Oryctolagus cuniculus: one gene and its partners. Each later gene encodes a partner of the first gene's protein in a complex. Links are inferred from orthologs where the notes say so. Each region holds a gene or a part of one and is shown in the gene's direction. Other genes may lie near its edges.

Region 1 (6,071 bases):
TGGACTACAACTTTGCTTTGCTTTTCTTCTCTGATATAGAAGATAAACTGCTGAGAGGGAAAGGGAGTCAAAGTGAAAGTCAGATTTGAAGCGGATGGTGGAAGTTTGAATAATCTTTGCAGAAGGGGAAGAAAAGATTGCTGGTCAGTGCCGAGCACTTGCAGACTGATAGTGACTGTGACCACTCTGGAGCAGGGTCCTGTTTCTCCGTCAGTGCTTACCATTCCTGAATGCAGGTTGGAAGGAGGTACATAATGAGTCATGAAGCTTGAGGTTTTGCCTAGCATGTGTCCTAGGAGGACTATGGAACAAGAGAAGTAAAGACATTGATAATAGTGATGTATCATGAGAGATAGGCCTGGCTGGTAAGCCACTGTCTAGAACAGCTCTAATTAAAAGGAGGGAGAAAGTAGAGGAGTGGCTGAGCTAGAGAACCGTAGCCAGGGCCCTTCAAAGATGAGGGCTGTGCTCCTGCATCCCTGAATGTGAATTGGTTGGGTGGGGAGGCAGCTCTTTGGAGTTAAGAAATTGGGGGGCCGGCACTGGCTCACTTGGCTAATCCTCCGCTTGCGGTGCTGGCACCCCGGGTTCTAGTCCCAGTTGGGGCGCCGGATTCTGTCCCGGTTGCCACTCTTCCAGTCCAGCTCTCTGCTGTGGCCAGGGAGGGCAGTGGAGGATGGCCTACGTCCTTGGGCCCTGCACCCACATGGGAGACCAGGAGGAAGCACATGGCTTCAGATCAGCACAGCGTCGGCTGTAGTGGCCATTTGGGGGGTGAACCAACGGAAGGAAGACCTTTCTCTCTGTCTCTCTCTCTCACTAACTCTGCCTGTCAAAAAAAAAAAAAAAAAAAAAATCAGGGAATGGGAGGCCAGATTCTTGGCATGTGATCTGCTTAGACACTGGTCACCACAGCACTTCTCACACTTTAATGTTCATGTGAACCATCTGGGGGTCTAGTTAAATTGCAGGTGCTTGTTCCTTCAGTCTGAGATGGCGCTCAGTGCCAATGCTGCTTGTCTATAGACCACACTTTGAGTAGTAAGGATCTGTTGTCAGGAGGGACTTGGGGATAAGAAGAAGGCTGTGAACCAGATGCCAAAGACATCACTGGCTCCAAGAATGTGCCCTGAAGTTATAGGGTAGTAATGAGGAGAGAGAGGATGAGTGGCATCATTGAGCCTCAAAGGAGCAAGAATTTTTACATGAGTGCCCGAAGAAATCTTGAAAGGACATGGGGAGGCAAAAGAATCTGTGACCCCATGTGGAGATTTTAAGCACGTGAAGAGTGTGTGAGGGAGAGCAGTTTTTACTGCTGGTCTGAAAAGGAGTGCAGTTTCTTTACAGGAGCACTGAGTCTCAAAGTGTAAAATATTGTAGAGAATATCCAGTAAAGAGGAGTTAGTCAGGCACAAAATTGGATTTAGGTGTTCAGGGGATTGTGGGGCTGAGTACAGGGAAGTGTGAGTAAACCAGGAATTGACATTTGGAGATAGTGTAAGGAGGACAGCAGAGACGAATTCAGCTTTGGTCCTTGAGGACTTGGAATTCAGCTGCTTTTCTGGGGACCAAGTATAATAACCTGGTGTTAACTGGTAACTTTGCAAGTGTGTGGGTGCAATGGTCTAATGAAGTAGACAGCAAGTGGCTCTGCACTGTTCAATTCTTGAGGACTGGCTGGCTGGTCAGAAGGAATGGTATACTGAGAAACGTGACCTGTTCGGTAGTATGTTCTCTGCAAAGTTGGGAAGAGCGAAAACCGTTCAATGTTTTACTTTTGCCTCTAACTGGTAACAGATGTAATAGATCATCAGAATGAGCTGAAGCTCTCTAAGATAAAGATGACCATGATAATTTACATCACATGTATTTACTGAAGTGTTAAAAATCTTCTTCAGGGCTGGCGCTGCGGCTCACTAGGCTAATCTTCCGCCTTGTGGTGCCGGCACACCGGGTTCTAGTCCCGGTCGGGGCCCCGGATTCTGTCCCGGTTGCCCCTCTTCCAGGCCAGCTCTCTGCTGTGGCCCGGGAGTGCAGTGGAGGATGGCCCAAGTGCTTGGGCCCTGCACCCCCTGGGAAACCAGGAGAAGCACCTGGCTCCTGCCATTGGATCAGTGTGGTGCGCTGGCTGCGGCGGCCATTGGAGGGTGAACCAATGGCAAAAGGAAGACCTTTCTCTCTGTCTCTCTCTCTCACTGTCCACTCTGCCTGTCAAAAAAAATAAAAAAAATTTAAAAAAAATCTTCTTCAATAAAACTGTCGAATAAAACAGAGGACTAAAATCTAGTTAGAATTGGCTTTTTGATTTGTTTTTTTTTTCTAAGAAAAGTGTACAGATTTAGTGAATATTGTGAATGTTGCACATTGAAGTCCACCATATCTTTGACAAAGCTTCAGAACCAGATCTCATCATTTGTTAATTTACCTTAGTCAAAGATAGAAGTTGTGATTGACTTTCTTTACCATGTGCTTTCAAATTGGCTCTCAGCATTTTTCTCCTTTGTTTTTAGTTTCAGAAACCACTAATGATTCAACAATAGATGATGTGATTGAAAATCATGTTGCAGACCAACTTTCATCAGATGTTACACCAAATGCTATGGATACTGAATTTTCAACATCATCTTCTCCAGCCAATTTACTGGAACGACCAACCAATCATACAGAGGCTCTTGGTCATGATCATTTAGGAACTAATGACCTCAGTGTTGGTGGATTTTTAGAAAATCATGAGGAACCAAGAGATAAAGAACAGTGTGCTGAGGAGAACATACCAGCATCTTCACTCAACAAAGGAAAGAAATTGATGCATTGCAGAAGCCATGAAGAGGTCAACACTGAACTAAAAGCACAAATAATGAAAGAGATCCGAAAACCAGGAAGAAGTATGTATAATTGGCCAAACCTCAGATTTGATTTCTATATGTGCTCAGAAAACAGATTGAATTACTGAAAGCATACACCATGGTCTTGAGCAGTATTTAAACCATTTAAGATTGATTCTTTGTTCATTCGGCAAACACTTACTATCTGCAATGTCCAGGGTACTACATATGATAGAAGTTAATGTCATGGAAGCTAAAGGATTATGGAATTGAGTGAGTTAGGATTAGTAAGAACTGAGAGCTGAAGAAAACTATAGATGGGTTGTGTGTGGGGTTCCTACCATGACAGGAACCCATAGTATTTTAACCTGCCAACCCCAAAAATTATAGTATTAAATGACTTCATGTCTATATTGTTTACAGAATGTACGTTGTGTTTCAGATTTAAACTATGATAGTGACCAACAATATCCTTAAGCCAAAAAGCTAAATTATATTAGTACAGAAGTACTTCATGGTAATCAAATTCGATATTATTTGGATTCATTCAGAAGATGTTAATAGATCACTTGCTCTGATAGTGCAAAAATGACCTGTAGTGGTCCAGAAGTGGGTAAGACTCAGAGAACTTGGCATTTAGGAGTGTATAAGTCCTTGGCAGGGTTGTGTGTGAAAACCTGAAACTGAAGTAGCGTTCTTATACTGTTTGGGGTTTTTGTTTCTGAAAAGGCCACTTGCCTTTTTCTTGTCAGTGGTACTACCAAAAAAGCCGTGTAACTCATTCTTCTAAGCTTTATGTTTGATACCTTCATGGGAACTTTTACCCAAAAAAGCATTGCTTAACAAGTTGTTTTATCTTTGTTGACACATACTTTTCTCACAAGTCTATGTTAAAATGTATTGTAAAACGGAGTAGTGAAATTTTTATGTAGAATGTTTTGTTTCATTGTATCTTTTTGTTTGTTCCAGTATATGTTAATGCTGAAAGGCATTTAATTTTTCTTTTTGCTTCTCTTGTTTTAAGAATATGAAAGAATCTTCACTTTACTGAAGCATGTGCAAGGCAGTTTACAAACAAGACTAATATTTTTACAAAATGTCATTAAGGAAGCATCAAGGTAAACAGATTATTTTATACAATATGAATTGGTGATGAAATGGGTCCCCAGTTTATACTTATAGAAAATATTTTACTAGTACCCATCATGCATTTGTGTTTATGCATGTTTATGACACAAATACATAGGAGAACTTTTTTCTGTTTACTGAAATCAGTTCACTTAAAAAGTAGATACACAAATCCTTCAAGAATTATGAACCTTTTCTCCATGCAAATTATTAGTTTTTTTTCATAATTCTTATTTAACCTCTTTAGCTTTTTGGTGTCTTCATATTTTATAGGCCTTAATTTTTCTCTTTTATATGTCAATCAGTAATTAGAAGTAACTTAGGAAGACAGTATTTGAATACAGTTCATTTTTGCATGGGAAGACATTTTTAAACAAAAAAGGATTTATTTATCTGAAAGGCAGAGTTAGAGAGAGAGATATCTTCCATCCACTGGTTCACTCCCCAAATGGCCACAATGGCTAGAGCTGGGCCAATCCAAATCCAGGAACCAGGAATTTCTTCCGGGTCTCCCAAATGGATGCAGGGTCCCAAGGATTTGGGTCATCTCCCACTGCACTCCCAGGCACATCAGCGGGGAGCTGGATAGGAAGAAGAACAGCTGGGACTCAAACCGATATCAATATGGGATTTCAGTGCTGCAGACAGTGGCTTTACCTGCTATGCCGCAGTTTTGGCCCTAGGAAGACATGTTATTAAGGGGACCAGAGTTGGACAGATGGACCTTAATCTGATTGTTTCAGTAGCCCAGGACTATGGACAAGGAATGTGGATCAAAATTATAAATGTAACTACAAAGTATAGTTAATTGGAAAGCATACTTGTATGAGTTTACACACATTTTTAGTGTTTCCTTCTAGACCTTGAGAATTTTAATATTAGAAGATTTATGGTTTATCTCATCTGACTTTCAAATATAAACATACTCATGTTTTGATTAATCTTCCATCTCTTTATTGCTACATGTAAAGGATTTAGATAAAGCAATTTTTTTTTTCCTGGAGTGGCTAGAGCATAAACTACTTTGAAAGATCAAGATAAGACCATAACTTTTCTATACAATTTTAGCAAATTAGCTTTCTCTGCTTTTCGTGGTGATGTTCTGTTGAATGAAGCCTCATAGATTCAGTTCTATTCCTGGTACCTCTACTATGCTTCTGCCACTTTCAGGGAGCAGTATAATATTATGGCGACTTTATATTAGTTACAGGAAGAGAGGAAATAGAGTAGAATTTAGTTTTTTTGATTAATATTCATGTAGAGGACTGTAATTGTAGTCTACTTATATTTATTGCTGAAAATTTTTAAAAAAAATTACTTTGTGAACATTAAGTGCTTGCTATACCCTCTGTAACATATGTCTAATTATTGATTTGCTGACTATTTAAATTATAATAATGGAACATTATGGTTTTTAAACATTACTGTCTTTTTTAATTTCTCCTTTTTTTTTGTGGAGAATTATACTTTCTTTGTATGCCTTTCAAAGAGTTTGAGAAGCTCTTGGAATAATTGCTTTGGGAATCCCAATTTTCCTAGAATATATCCAATCTACAGATGGTAGGATTTTTTTTCCTTTTCAAAAGTTGTAGAAGGGATAAACTCATTCCTGTTATTTCTGGGCTTAGACTATTTGTTTTAGGGATAATCTATCAAAAGTGTATTGATAAAAGAACATGCTAATCTTCCAACAGATTTTTATGTCATGGATTGTTGATTTTTTTGGTTTTCATTTCACTTTGAAAAATCTTCCAAAAACAGTTTTTTGCCCTTTTCTAAACATCATAACATGCCATTCATTAGAAAAGCAATTGAGAATGTTATTATTTATATTTTTATACAGGTTTAAAAAACGAATGCTAATAGAACAACTGGAGAACTTCTTGGATGAAATTCATCGAAGAGCTAATCAGATCAACCACATTAATAGCAATTAAAAGAAAATAGAATGTGGCCATTTATTTCACTGTCTTCTCCAAATACAAAGTAAATACAAGACTGTTGTGATCTTGCATTCATTTTTTTGACATGCATTGTTGGCTACTTGAAATACTAAGAGCAAGTCTACAGATCCTTTTTCCATCATTTTACAGTGACCTTTTCTTCATTTTGGTTTAT
Region 2 (6,071 bases), on another chromosome or scaffold:
TTCTATTCTACTAGTTTATGTTTATAGATACCCACTTGTTTACCACATAATTTCCAATTCTTTATGGTCACAAAGACTTTTTTAAGCTGCTGAATGTAACCACAATTTCTGATTATTCTCTATAATGTTTTAAAGCCAAATATTAACAAAGTAAAAGGAAAGGGATTATTCAAAAAACTAAATTAAATATAAGTAGATAATTTAAGAAGAAAGGAGGTGTAAATAAACTCTGAGAACTATGTAACTCCAATCTTGATAATAACAAAGCAGCCATTGGTAGCTTTATATGAAAAGAATGCACAGTTGGAGCCAGACAAACCTATTTGAAATCCCATTTTACACAAAATTAAGAGAAATACTGTAAGTCACCTAGACTAGTATCTACCTGGTATATAATATGCTGCTATAAATGACAATACTTATTCTCTAATACTTACTAAGTATTCTTTCAAATCTCTATACCCTAGCCCTGTAACTCCAAGTGACCTAGGTCTGTGGGCCTAGAAACCAAGCTGAGAAGAGGAATATAGAACTACCCGACTACTTCAAGTCTGTTTAGAATCTGATGCTCAAGACAGGGTCAGGTTTCATACTTAGCACCCAAGTAAACATTCATGTTTTTTTCTAGTCTTTTTTTCAACAGTAACTCTAGTACTCTCAAGCCTTTTTGTCTTTTGAATAGTAGAAACATTGTACTCTCAGTTTTTTCTACTCATTCTCATTCTGGTAGGGTCAATAAATTAAGGTGTATCACATTAGTACAGATCTACAAAACACACTACCAAGTTCATCCTGCTCTGTGTGTTGGTATTATCCAAATAGGAAAAATCTATTACCAAATAAAGTGAGATTCTAAAATGGAAGTTCATCTGTTAAAGCACATCAAAAATTTGTTGTGATTAAAAAGCCTGCTGCCCCTAGATTGCTAACTGGAATTCACTTCTCCTGCTAGAGAAAATAAGTATTTTAAAAGCACAAGTTAATTTAATTTTAACTTTCATCCAAACATTTCCAACATAACTTGTGTGAGAAGAGTGATTGAAGCTTCAGCATGCCTAAGAATCACCTGGAGACAGTAGTATGCTTGTAAACATTAATAACCAGCTTTGTGAATGTAATTTTAACATAAATATTGGTTGATACTCTATATAAATGAGAAGGCAAATGTGAACAATGAAGTTGGAACTTAAACTCACCCACCAATGACTTGAGCAACTTCTTTGCTTAATTACATAATATTTCTCAAATGCTGCAGGATTATGTCCTCAATTTTTTATGTTACATACATGATTAACTTTTTAAGTTTGACATGCTTTAACATTTTCTCTATTAGTTTCCTTAGTCTACAGTCTTTCTATGAAGAAACAAATAGTGAATTTTAGGTTTTGTGGTCCTGATGGTCTCTGGTGAAACTAGTTCTGCCATGGTAGCATGAATGCAGCTTCTTATACTACATAAATGGATGACTGCAGCTGTGTTCCAGTATAGCTATAAGTAGCAAGCCAGATTTGGCCTGTGAGTTTCAGTTTACTAACAATGGTCTAAACAATCAGCACAACATTAAATCACACCCTGCTATCAGTGGATCTGAAACCCACTCCCCTTCCCTTCTTCCACAGAGGTAACTACTATTCTGAAGTTGATGTATATCATTCCATTTATACTTTTATGTATTATCACAGAAAATAGACTGCATTTCCTATTCCAGGTTTACTTGGCAGATCTGGGGGTGATTCTGAGGAGCATGATATACATCAACTTTTTATACCGTTAACAACAATAAATGACAACTATATCAGCAAAACCTTGATAATATGATAGTAAGAATTTTAAGTTTAAGCCAGAATAAAAAGTCCATAGGCTGAAAGAAAACAGTTGCATGTCACGTATCAACAAAGGTCTTGTGAAGAACTCTTTAATCTGAAAAAGAAAACAACCTCATTTTTTTAAATGGAAAAAATTTTTGACCAAATGTTTAACATCATTAGCTTTTAGGGAAATGTGAATTAAATCCATAAGGAAATACTGCTATATACTTATTAGAATGTTCAAAATTAAAAAGACTAACCATTCTAAGTAACATTCGTATCTTCCTGGTGGAAATGAAAAATGGTACAGCCACTTTTGAACAGTTTGGCAGTTTCTTAAATAATTAAGCATACACTAACCATATGACCATTCCACTCCTAGAAATTTACTCTAGAGCAGTGAAAGTACATGTCCATACATGTACATGAAAGTATGTAACAGCTTTATTAGCAGTAGCCCCAAAGTACAAACAATGTTCATCAGTAGGTAAGTGGACAAACAGATTGTGTTATATCCCACAGCATTAAAAAGAAATGACAGGGTGGGCTCTGTGGCATAGTAGGTTATGCCTCCACCTGTGGCACCAGCATCCCATATACATGCTGATTTGAGTCCCAGCTGCTTCACTTCTGATCCAACTCCCTGCTAATGTGCCTGGGAAAGCAGTGGAGGTGGCCCAAGTGCTTGGGCCCCTGCACCCACGTGGGAGACCCGGATGAAGCTCCTGGCTTCAGATCGGCCCAGCTCCGACTGTTGTAGCCATTTGGAAAGTGAACTACCAGATGGAAGACATCTCTGTGTCTCATCCTCTCTATCTGTAACTCTACTTCTCAAATAAAATAATAAATAAATAAATAGAGACTTCTTGATGAATTTTATACATTCTTTTAAAAAGAAGAAATGAATCTACACACTCAACAACATGAATGAATTCAAAATATATATGCTAAATATAAGCAGCCATACAAAAAAGAGTACATACAGTAAGTTAAATTAATTTCTAGAAAGTACAACATAAACTGTAGCTCCAGAAGGCAGATCAGTTGTTGCCTAAGAATGGGGTATGGTTTCTCAGGATATAGTCCTATAAGAGAGTGATTACAAAGGAACACAAAGAGATTTTGGATATGATATGTTCATTATATTGAAAATAGTGATAGAGTCATGGTTTATACAAATGTCAAAACTTAAATTTTCTAGTTTAAGTATGTTCAGTTTGTATATCAATTTCTCAAGTTATTTTCTCAATGTTATTTAAAATATTGGTCATAACATTTAGATGAAAATTACTTAGATTTATGAATTTTTAATGCATTAAGCAACCTGAGTATTTAATTTTTGAGTATCTTTTTATTTTACCTTTTAGGATGTGGAGCCACCCAAAATTTCAAGCACAAAAGCTATTTCTATTAAGCAAGAGCCCAAAACATCATCCAGTCTTCCTTCAGGCAATAATAATGGCAAGGTCCTCACAACTGAAAAGGTAAAGAAGGAAGCTGAAAAGAGACCTGCTGATAAAGTAAGATTTTGTTTTGATGTAATTTAAAAAGAAAAAAGTAAATCATTTGTTGCATAGATGACAAGAAACAATGTTTTATGCCTACTTCTAATTTGTATAACAGTGAGTGTAGATACATAATAATCACTCAGTAGATGTAATCTGATGGCTGTAGATGTAGACCTTTTGAAAAATGAGTAAAAGTTAAAAACATTTTTAAAACTAAATATTTGAGCCTCAGGAGATATAATAGTTTGAGTATAAACTCTAACTGTAAACTTTAATCCTTAATGCAGTGCTTCCAGATGTAATAGTTGTTGAGAAAAAAACAGAGAGAGGAAAGAGGAAAGATGTAAATGACTAACCATGAATTCTGTTATAGGATGGTCTGAACCTTAAGAGGTGATGGATAATTCTTGGATTCTCTATTTTGGATGATTCCTGTAAATAGTAATTAAGATTATAACAATTAATTAAAAATACATTTAAGTATATCTTTAGTAACCCTTCCCCTCAACATGTGGTATATTATCTCTTACATTTTCTTACTTTTAATAAATAGTAACATTAATAAACATATACTATTTTCTCTGCTTTTGAATTTATGGGATAGGTACTCTGCATATATATCCTTTGGTAAATTTTCATGTCCTCGAAATGTACTTTTGAAAATTGTCTAAGGTGGTGTATATAGATCTGGATACTTATGTTAGGTACTATATAATATTCATTCTATGAATAAACCAGTTTTTGTGTTCCCCTGCTGATGAGCAGTTAGGTTATTTCTCCTTTCTCTATTATGAGGAGCTTCTATGAGCTACTTTTTATATACATAGCTCTTTGTGAACACATTAATAGTTTAGTCTGGATGACTAGTAGATAGCTTATTATTTACTTTTTTTAATATATCTTTAATATTAGTAGTCCATAATTTAAAATTGAAAACAGCCTTATTGTTGCTATGGTTTCTGAATTCAAAGCATTGTAATAGGCAAAAATATATGCAATGTAAGTCTGTTGAACTCTTAATTATAATTCTTCCACAGTCTAGTGTATAAATCTGTCCCTAATTAAGTCAAAATGTCTGCAAAATGGAATTAATCATAACACGCTATAAACATCTCTCAGTGATTTCAAATTTATTATATATTACTTTTATTATCATTTTCTGATTGGTACTTTTTATAGATAAAATCAGATGTTACTGAAGGAGCTGATATTCCAAAGAAACCTAGACTAGAGAAATCCGAGACACGGTCCTCTCCCATTACTGTCCAAACCAGCAAGGATTTAGCTATAGCTGACCTTTCCAGTTTTGAAGAGACCAGTGCTGATGATTTTGCTATGGAGATGGGACTGGCCTGTGTTGTTTGCAGGTAAGTCGCATGGTAGGTAAGTCATACCTTAATACAGATTGTTTAACAACCACCTCCCCCTTCATTCTCTCCCAAATGAGAACAATTGTTGAAGTGTTCTATTTTGTTTTTATTATTCAAGGATTGAGAATATATAAGTAGATTATGCCTAATGAACAACTCTTAAAGCAATTTAACATCTTGAAAATTATCAACAATTTTATCCTCCTGACTATGACTTGACTTATTCATGTAGTAATAATTTCTTCATTCTTGAGTTCTAGGGGGAAAGTGATTTTTCATTATTCTTTTGAAATAGACTCTGTTCACCAGACTCTTTTTTTTTAATTATTTTTTCTGAATTGATAGCATAAAAAATGCTCTGGTACATATCATTTTCTAAAGCATCCTTAAGTATTTTCCTAAGGATAGTGGAAATGAAAGGAATGGATCATATGGGTTATTCTGAGTGGTGTTTTATAATATAGCTGCAAAAGTGTAAAAACAGATAATTCTGCTTAGTACAAAATACATTTACAAAAATAAATTTTAAGCTCCTTGATGCTAAGGATTATGTTTTTAGTTGTTAATGCCCTTAAACACTTAGCACAATAAAAAGATTGTCATCTTTGTTGATGTTTTCTTTTTAAAAATGTTAAATTCTGATTTTAAGAACTAAGTAAATATAATCTTATAGAGAATGAGTTTATGTGCTTCTGCTTTCAACATATATTTGTTTATTCATCCTTTGTCTACCTTGAAAGTTATTTTGTAAATAAGTAAATGTTAAAAGTAATGGGGAGAGTAATAGTAACTGTAATGCTCTATCAGCATTCTTACTATGAAAAGCCAAGACTATAGTGATAGCTTTTTGTGCTATTTTGATGCATATTTTGCTGTATTCAGTTCAGTCAACATTCATCAAGCACCTGTTTGCACAGTCATGTGCTGGGCTATAGATGATTATGTTTAGTTCTCAATTTTAGGTTGTTCATGTTGAAGAAGAGAGAGCAACATTTAGCTAACTAATATTAAGGAACTGAATAGAACTACAAAGAAAGTATATTTGAGACTGTTGAAGAACTTGTCAAGAAAGAAAAAAAATTACAATGTGATATGACAGGGAGAATATACCCACTTTTATTTGGGTATCTTTTATATTTATTAATGGTTGATTGTAAGCTTTAAAATAGCTGAAGTACTTGTGCAGGCTGCATGTTGGGATTTGTTATTTTGCTCTTTGGTTTTCCTTTTGTTTATTTACATACTAGAACAAAGCTGAAATGACTTAAATTGTTGCATTCAGGAAAGTATAATGTTCAGTGGTATATTCTTCTTAGGCAGATGACAGTAGCATCTGGTAATCAATTAGTCGAATGTCAAGAATGCCATAATCTGTACCACCAAGA
Region 3 (6,071 bases), on another chromosome or scaffold:
AAAGAATGCCTGCCTCCTAGGAGTACTGGGAAGTGTAAGTGAATTCATGCTTGTTGTACCTGGCATATAAGGAGTAGTTAATGAATGTTAATTCCATTTTCTCCCTTTCCAAATTACTTCATAGATTTGATACTAATTCAGCCTACCAAGTATTTATTGGATCCTAAGAATAGAAAAATTATAAAGACACAGGCTTTTCCCTCAAGTTATCCATAAGCTAAGAAAGAAAAATTTTATAAACATCATACAGTGTACTTGCAGTCACAGAGCTCTGCACGAGGCAGAGATGTAGCCAGAAGGATGAAGTAACTCATGCTAAAGGGTAGGGAGAACAGAGAGGAGGACTTCCGAGAGCGACAGCGGCTCTGCGGGTGAGCTTTCGGGACAGGAGTGGTGGGGAGTCTCGGGCAGCAAACAGCGGACAGCAGAGGCTGGCCATGGCGTGGTGTCTTCTGGGAGCAGTGTGTTGTTGCTGCAGCATGATGTAAGGCCAGGGGAGGGGGAGCTTGCACTTAATGTGGGGAACTGGGGAGCTTTTGAGGCATTTTAAATAGCTGTGGGAGACAAGTGGCTGAGACTCTCACTTTCTTACTCTTTCTTGCTCTTTAAAATGAAAATAAATAAAAATATGGCTAATATGTCTGATAGCTCTAAACTCTAAAGAAATGTGAATTTTTGGCCGGCGCCACGGCTCACTAGGCTAATCCTCCGCCTAGCGGCGCCGGCACACCGGGTTCTAGTCCCGGTTGGGGTGCCGGATTCTGTCCCGGTTGCCCCTCTTCCAGGCCAGCTCTCTGCTGTGGCCAGGGAGTGCAGTGGAGGATGGCCCAGGTGCTTGGGCCCTGCACCCCATGGGAGACCAGGAAAAGCACCTGGCTCCTGGCTCCTGGCTCCTGCCATCGGATCAGCGCGGTGCGCCGGCCGCAGCGCGCCGGCCGCGGCGGCCATTGGAGGGTGAACCAATGGCAAAAGGAAGACCTTTCTCTCTGTCTCTCTCTCTCTCTCACTGTCCACTCTGCCTGTCAAAAAAATAAAAATAAATAAAAATTAAAAAAAAGAAATGTGAATTTTTGCCTTATGTGCGGCCTTAAGGAATCTCATTCTCCTGTCATTCTTTTTCTATTGAATATACTTCAAAATAAAGTAAAAATCTGCAATGTAACTCAAAAGTCTGTTTAACTCCTTGAAATGAATGCTTTAGTAGCAGTACACAATTCCTGGAGACTGTACCGATTTCTTTGTTGGTATCTACTTTTTAAATAATCTGTAAGTGTTTGCAGTTTTAAACTTTTTGAATGTACCACATTTGTTGATGACAGTTGAAAATGTATTCACATGTGATCCCATTTCTTTTCCCCCCAGCACACAGCCTGCCTGTGCAATGCCATCATTGCTTTGCTGAAAGTTCCCCTTTCATTTCAGAGATACTTTTTCCAGAAACTGCAGTCTACCAGCATCAAGGTACTATCTCCAGAACAGTAGGGTTAATACAGGTGAAAAGCCAGCTCTCCTGTGAGGTCTGAGTAGGACGTAGGTGTAGTTCAGTGCCTTACCTTTGGCTTTAGGAAAACACAGCCTTCAGCTGTAAGCCTGTCCTCCCATTATCCAGTGATTTGGTGAAGGGAATGGGGTTTCAAAGGTAAACCCTCTTCCTTTGTAACTGCCAGCGCCAAGTGCAGTGAAACGGGCATCTGGGTAATTGGAGCTCTGTTCCTTGTCTTCTGTAGCGAGGAATGAAGTAATGGTTGGGTTTTTTGGTTTTTGGTTTTTGGTGTTTTTTTTTTTCTTGAAGATTTATTTATTTGAAACTCAGAGAGAGAGAGAGAGAGAGGTCTTCCATCCACTGGTTCACTCCCCAATTGGCTGCAGTGGCCAGAGCTGCACCAATCCAAAGCCAGGAGCCAGGAGCTTCTTCCAGGTCTCCCACATGGGTGCAGAGGCCCAAGGACTTGGACCATCTTCTGCTGCTTTGCCAGGCCGTAGCAGAGAGCTAGCTCACAAATGGTGAAGCCATGGCCTGAACCGGCTCCCAGGTGAGATTCTGGCACTGCAGGTGGTGACTTAACCCACTGCACCACAGTGCAAGCTCCGAGTTAATGGTTTTTACAAAGTACCCTTCAGAAATCCTGAGCTGAGTCTATGTCTGTATCAGGCCATTAAGACCCAACCTGAAATAAATCAGATGGTCCAGTCAACATCACCAGTCCTAACTCCAAAAAAAGCATTTTTGCCTTTGAATAGCTAGTTTTAAATGCTGGCCAATGAGTAGAGTTAGCATTTTGAAATATTTACACAAAATATAAATGCTAAATTCAAAATCTGTTTTTCATTCAGAGAATAAAATTGTTGGGAAAGGGGGAGAATTTGTCTTCTAATTGTCCTTGTTTGTTAATGTCTTCAGCAAACTTTCAGATTCATTAGAATGCTTTGGATTGCAAATAACAGAGTAGTCTATTTCAAAATGCCCTGAATAATGAGATATCTGCAGATAGGAGGCCTCTAAGGCAGGGGTGTCCAGGGTGGGTTATACAGTGGCTCGGCAGCATTATCAGTGACTCAAGTTTCTCCCATCTCTTCATTCAGCAAGACTTGAGCTGTCTGTAATTGAAGTGTATTTGGGACTTTAATACATTTTTCAAGCAAAACTACTCTAATAAGTTAAAAATGTCCTTTGGCTCATGTTTGAAAATTGACTTTTTTTGTAAAAACCATGATGATTTAATTATGTAAGCGGCCCTAGAATTTTAAGTTCTTTTGCATTTGGATTTGTGTATTTCAAATTACCTAAAACCAAACAGAAAGCTGGATGAAAATTTACATGGTGTATTTGCCTACTGGAAGTGGCTCATTTTCACAAAAATGCCCCCCCACAAACGGTGGGGTATGGCCCCATTTCTGTTCTCTAATCCTGTCACCCCCAAACACAGCAGTTTGGGATGAAAAACACAATTGTGTTAAAAAGGAGGCAGTGGGGATTGGCTTTAAAGGTACATCTACCTGCTGTCCCAGCACAGGCAGACCATCAGGGGAGGGTCAAGGGCGCCAGGATGTTAATCTGTAACCAGTGGTTACCACAGAGATGCTTGTTGGGAGGAAGCTTGCTCTTGGTTGTTGGCATTTATTTTAATGTTGATATTCCAGCTTGCTCTGTCGCCATCGCCCCGGAACCCTGCGGAGCCCATTGCTGTCCATAACAACCAGCAGCTGGCACTAAAGGTGGAGGGAGTGGTTCAGCACGGATCTAAACCAGGACTCTTCCGCAAAATTCAGTCTGTCTGTCTGAATGTTTCCTCCACGCTACAGAGTAAATCCGGACAAGACTACAAGGTAACTCAGAAAAGCCGCAGTCGCGCTGCAGATGTTTCAGCTCATTGATGGACATTTCCCTCTGTTTTCCCTGGTTACGCAGATTGCGCCTCAGAAGGGATGAGGTAGACAGAAACGTCAGGCCTTGAGGAGGCTGATCAGCAGCAGCACTTCTCTTTTCCCTTGCCAGGCCAGTGGATAGACACAAAGCATCCAGGCCAACAAACATCAAAATACAAGTTTTTTACCGTTAGAACTGGAGCCTGGCAGCAAGGGCTTCCTTGTGCCTGTGAGGTCAGTACGTGAAAGCCCCCCCCCCCCCCCCAAAAAAAAAACCTACGGCCCGGCCTGGGGGAGTATCCTGCTGCCCCGAGGAGTTGCTTGAGGTTCACTGGCCCCATGCCTCCAGAGGCTGGTACTGTTAATCTCATGGAGGGTCCCTCCACAGGAATGAAGAATGAATGGCTCCTAGCCCACTTTCCCTTTTTTGGAATTTTACACTTGCATAGATAGGTCAGATGACTCATTAGGATACAGAGATCAAATAAGGTGAGATCTTAAAGGTATAACCCGTCACCCTAGGAATACGCTGCTTTGAGAAGTCGTGATGTCGTGAGGCAGGTTAAGTACTAGCCAGAATCAGGTGGTTACACCAGAGCTGTGGAAATACCAGTGGCCCAAATATCGAATGTTCCTTTCTTGAGACATTTCTTTCCAGTTCCTCGGTGACTTATCCACAGTAAATGAGCAGGGAACAGACACAGTTAATTCAGATGCTCAGGTTGGCTGTGTCCAGGTTTACGGTGGCGTGTCTGACTGGGGTCCCCAGCAAGGAACGGGTTCTGGGGAAGAGAAAAGGAAAGCATTTCCTTGCGTGGTGGTCGCCGGCTTCAAAAGCGAAGGGAAGCTCTGGCTTAGTCCATCGCTTTATTGACTTTGGTAGCTGCCCCTTTGCCTGGTCTCTGATAAACTTCGGCCTTAGAGCTCTTCCTCTTTGCCTAGACCTTAGATAGCCACCAGCAAATATTTGGTGAATGATGGAAAAACCACTTACTGTATGAAGATTACCACTGTTATGGTTGGGTAATCTCGGCTCTCACAGGAGGTTGCAGAGATAATTTATACATTTAATTTATCCCTTCTGCAGCTCTCTCCTCGCTTTGAATTTGAAACAGCAGTAACCAGGATTCTCTTTCTTCCTTGTACGCAGTAATTTTTTACTGTTAAGGAAAGATTTAGACCTAGAAGCACTGATCTGTTGTTGACTCACCTCTCAGAGGCACTGATTAAGTAAGGAAGCTGGTAGAGTCGGCCATGCGGTGCGTGATTACTGGGCCATGGTAATTGTCCTGAGTTTATAATTTAAAATGCAGCCATCCATTCAAGTGATCAGGTTGCTTGGGCCTGCTTGGTTTTTGGTTTTTTTTTTTTTCCTTTGTTTATTTGTTTTTATTCAAGAGAGTGGACCCCTAGGCCCTGGTTCATTCCCCATATACATGAATGGCCAGCCCTGCCTGAGCCAGGAGCCAGAACTCAATCCAGGTCTCCCATGTGGGTGCCAGGGACTCAGCTACCTGAGCCCTCAGCTGCTGCCTCCCAGGGTCTTTACACTGGCAGGAGGCTGGAATCGGGATCTAGACCCAGGTCTCTAGGCCAGGCACTCTGTGCGGGGCCTGGGCACCTTACCCACGAGCCCGAGCACTCACCCAGCTGGGACTACTTCCAGTGCTTTGGAGGAAATGATTCTCTAGTAGGCATATGTTGTAAGGAAATAAAAGCTACAAAAACTGAATGCGGGGGAAGGGAGAGTACTTAGATTATACATAATACTAAGATCTTGAATTGGTTGACTTCAGTTCATTTTTTTTTAATGATTTATTTATTTATTTGAAAGAGTTACAGAGAGAAGGAGAGGCAGAGAGAGAGAGAGAGAGAGAGAGAGGTCTTCCATCCGCCGGTTCACTCCCCACAATTGACCACAGTGGTCCGAGCTGCGCCATACCGAAGCCAGGAGCCTGGAGCTTCTTCCAGGTCTCCCACGCGGGTGCAGGGGCCCAAGGACTTGAGTCATCTTCTACTGCTTTCCCAGGCCACAGCAGAGAACTGGAACGGAAGTGGAATAGCTGGGACTCCAACCAGCTCCCATATGGGATGCTGGCACTGCAGGTGGTGGCTTTACCCGCTACACCACCGTGCCGGCCCCAGACTTCAGTTCATTAATGTTACATATAAATGTCCCTGGAAAACTGATCATATGATAACTGCTCATTGAGACATAAAATTGCAGGGCACATTTGTCAAATGACACTACAGAAAATTACACATAAAGAGAGAAATCTAGCCGGCACCGCGGCTCAATAGGCTAATCCTCCACCTAGCGGCGCCGGCACACCAGGTTCTAGTCCCGGTCAGGGCGCCGGATTCTTTCCCGGTTGCCCCTCTTCCAGGCCAGCTCTCTGCTGTGGCCCGGGAAGGCAGTGGAGGATGGCCCAAGTGCTTGGGCCCTGCACCCCATGGGAGACCAGGAGAAGCACCTGGCTCCTGCCTTCGGATCAGCGCGGTGCGCCGGCTGCAGTGCACCAGCCGTGGCAGCCATTGGAGGGTGAACCAACGGCAAAAAGGAAGACCTTTCTCTCTGTCTCTCTCTCTCACTGTCCACTCTGCCTGTCAAAAAAAAAAAAAAAAAAGAGAGAGAGAGAAATCTAGTCAAATATCCATTAAGGTTACCTTCATGTGTATCCTCAGAATAAGTCTGCCTCATAGAT

What was found. The genes of interacting proteins can lie anywhere in the genome.
Region 2: INTS6 (region 1) and INTS12 share a complex: the UniProt entries of both Homo sapiens proteins name them as parts of the integrator complex. The link is inferred for Oryctolagus cuniculus from reciprocal best matches to the Homo sapiens genes INTS6 and INTS12.
Region 3: INTS6 (region 1) and INTS7 share a complex: the UniProt entries of both Homo sapiens proteins name them as parts of the integrator complex. The link is inferred for Oryctolagus cuniculus from reciprocal best matches to the Homo sapiens genes INTS6 and INTS7.

Annotation. Positions count from the first base shown.
Region 1 is NC_091440.1:70,752,228-70,758,298, reverse strand, and holds part of INTS6 (integrator complex subunit 6), read left to right. Parts: intron 1-39; coding exon of another isoform or gene 40-89; exon of another isoform or gene 90-182; intron 183-2,510; coding exon 2,511-2,885; intron 2,886-3,849; coding exon 3,850-3,943; intron 3,944-5,796; coding exon 5,797-5,890; 3' UTR 5,891-5,939; exon of another isoform or gene 5,940-6,071. UniProt on the Homo sapiens protein: Component of the integrator complex, a multiprotein complex that terminates RNA polymerase II (Pol II) transcription in the promoter-proximal region of genes.
Region 2 is NC_091439.1:59,480,542-59,486,612, forward strand, and holds part of INTS12 (integrator complex subunit 12), read left to right. Parts: intron 1-3,175; coding exon 3,176-3,328; intron 3,329-4,495; coding exon 4,496-4,683; intron 4,684-6,002; coding exon 6,003-6,071. UniProt on the Homo sapiens protein: Component of the integrator complex, a multiprotein complex that terminates RNA polymerase II (Pol II) transcription in the promoter-proximal region of genes.
Region 3 is NC_091444.1:26,468,725-26,474,795, reverse strand, and holds part of INTS7 (integrator complex subunit 7), read left to right. Parts: intron 1-1,362; coding exon 1,363-1,461; intron 1,462-3,141; coding exon 3,142-3,327; intron 3,328-6,071. UniProt on the Homo sapiens protein: Component of the integrator complex, a multiprotein complex that terminates RNA polymerase II (Pol II) transcription in the promoter-proximal region of genes.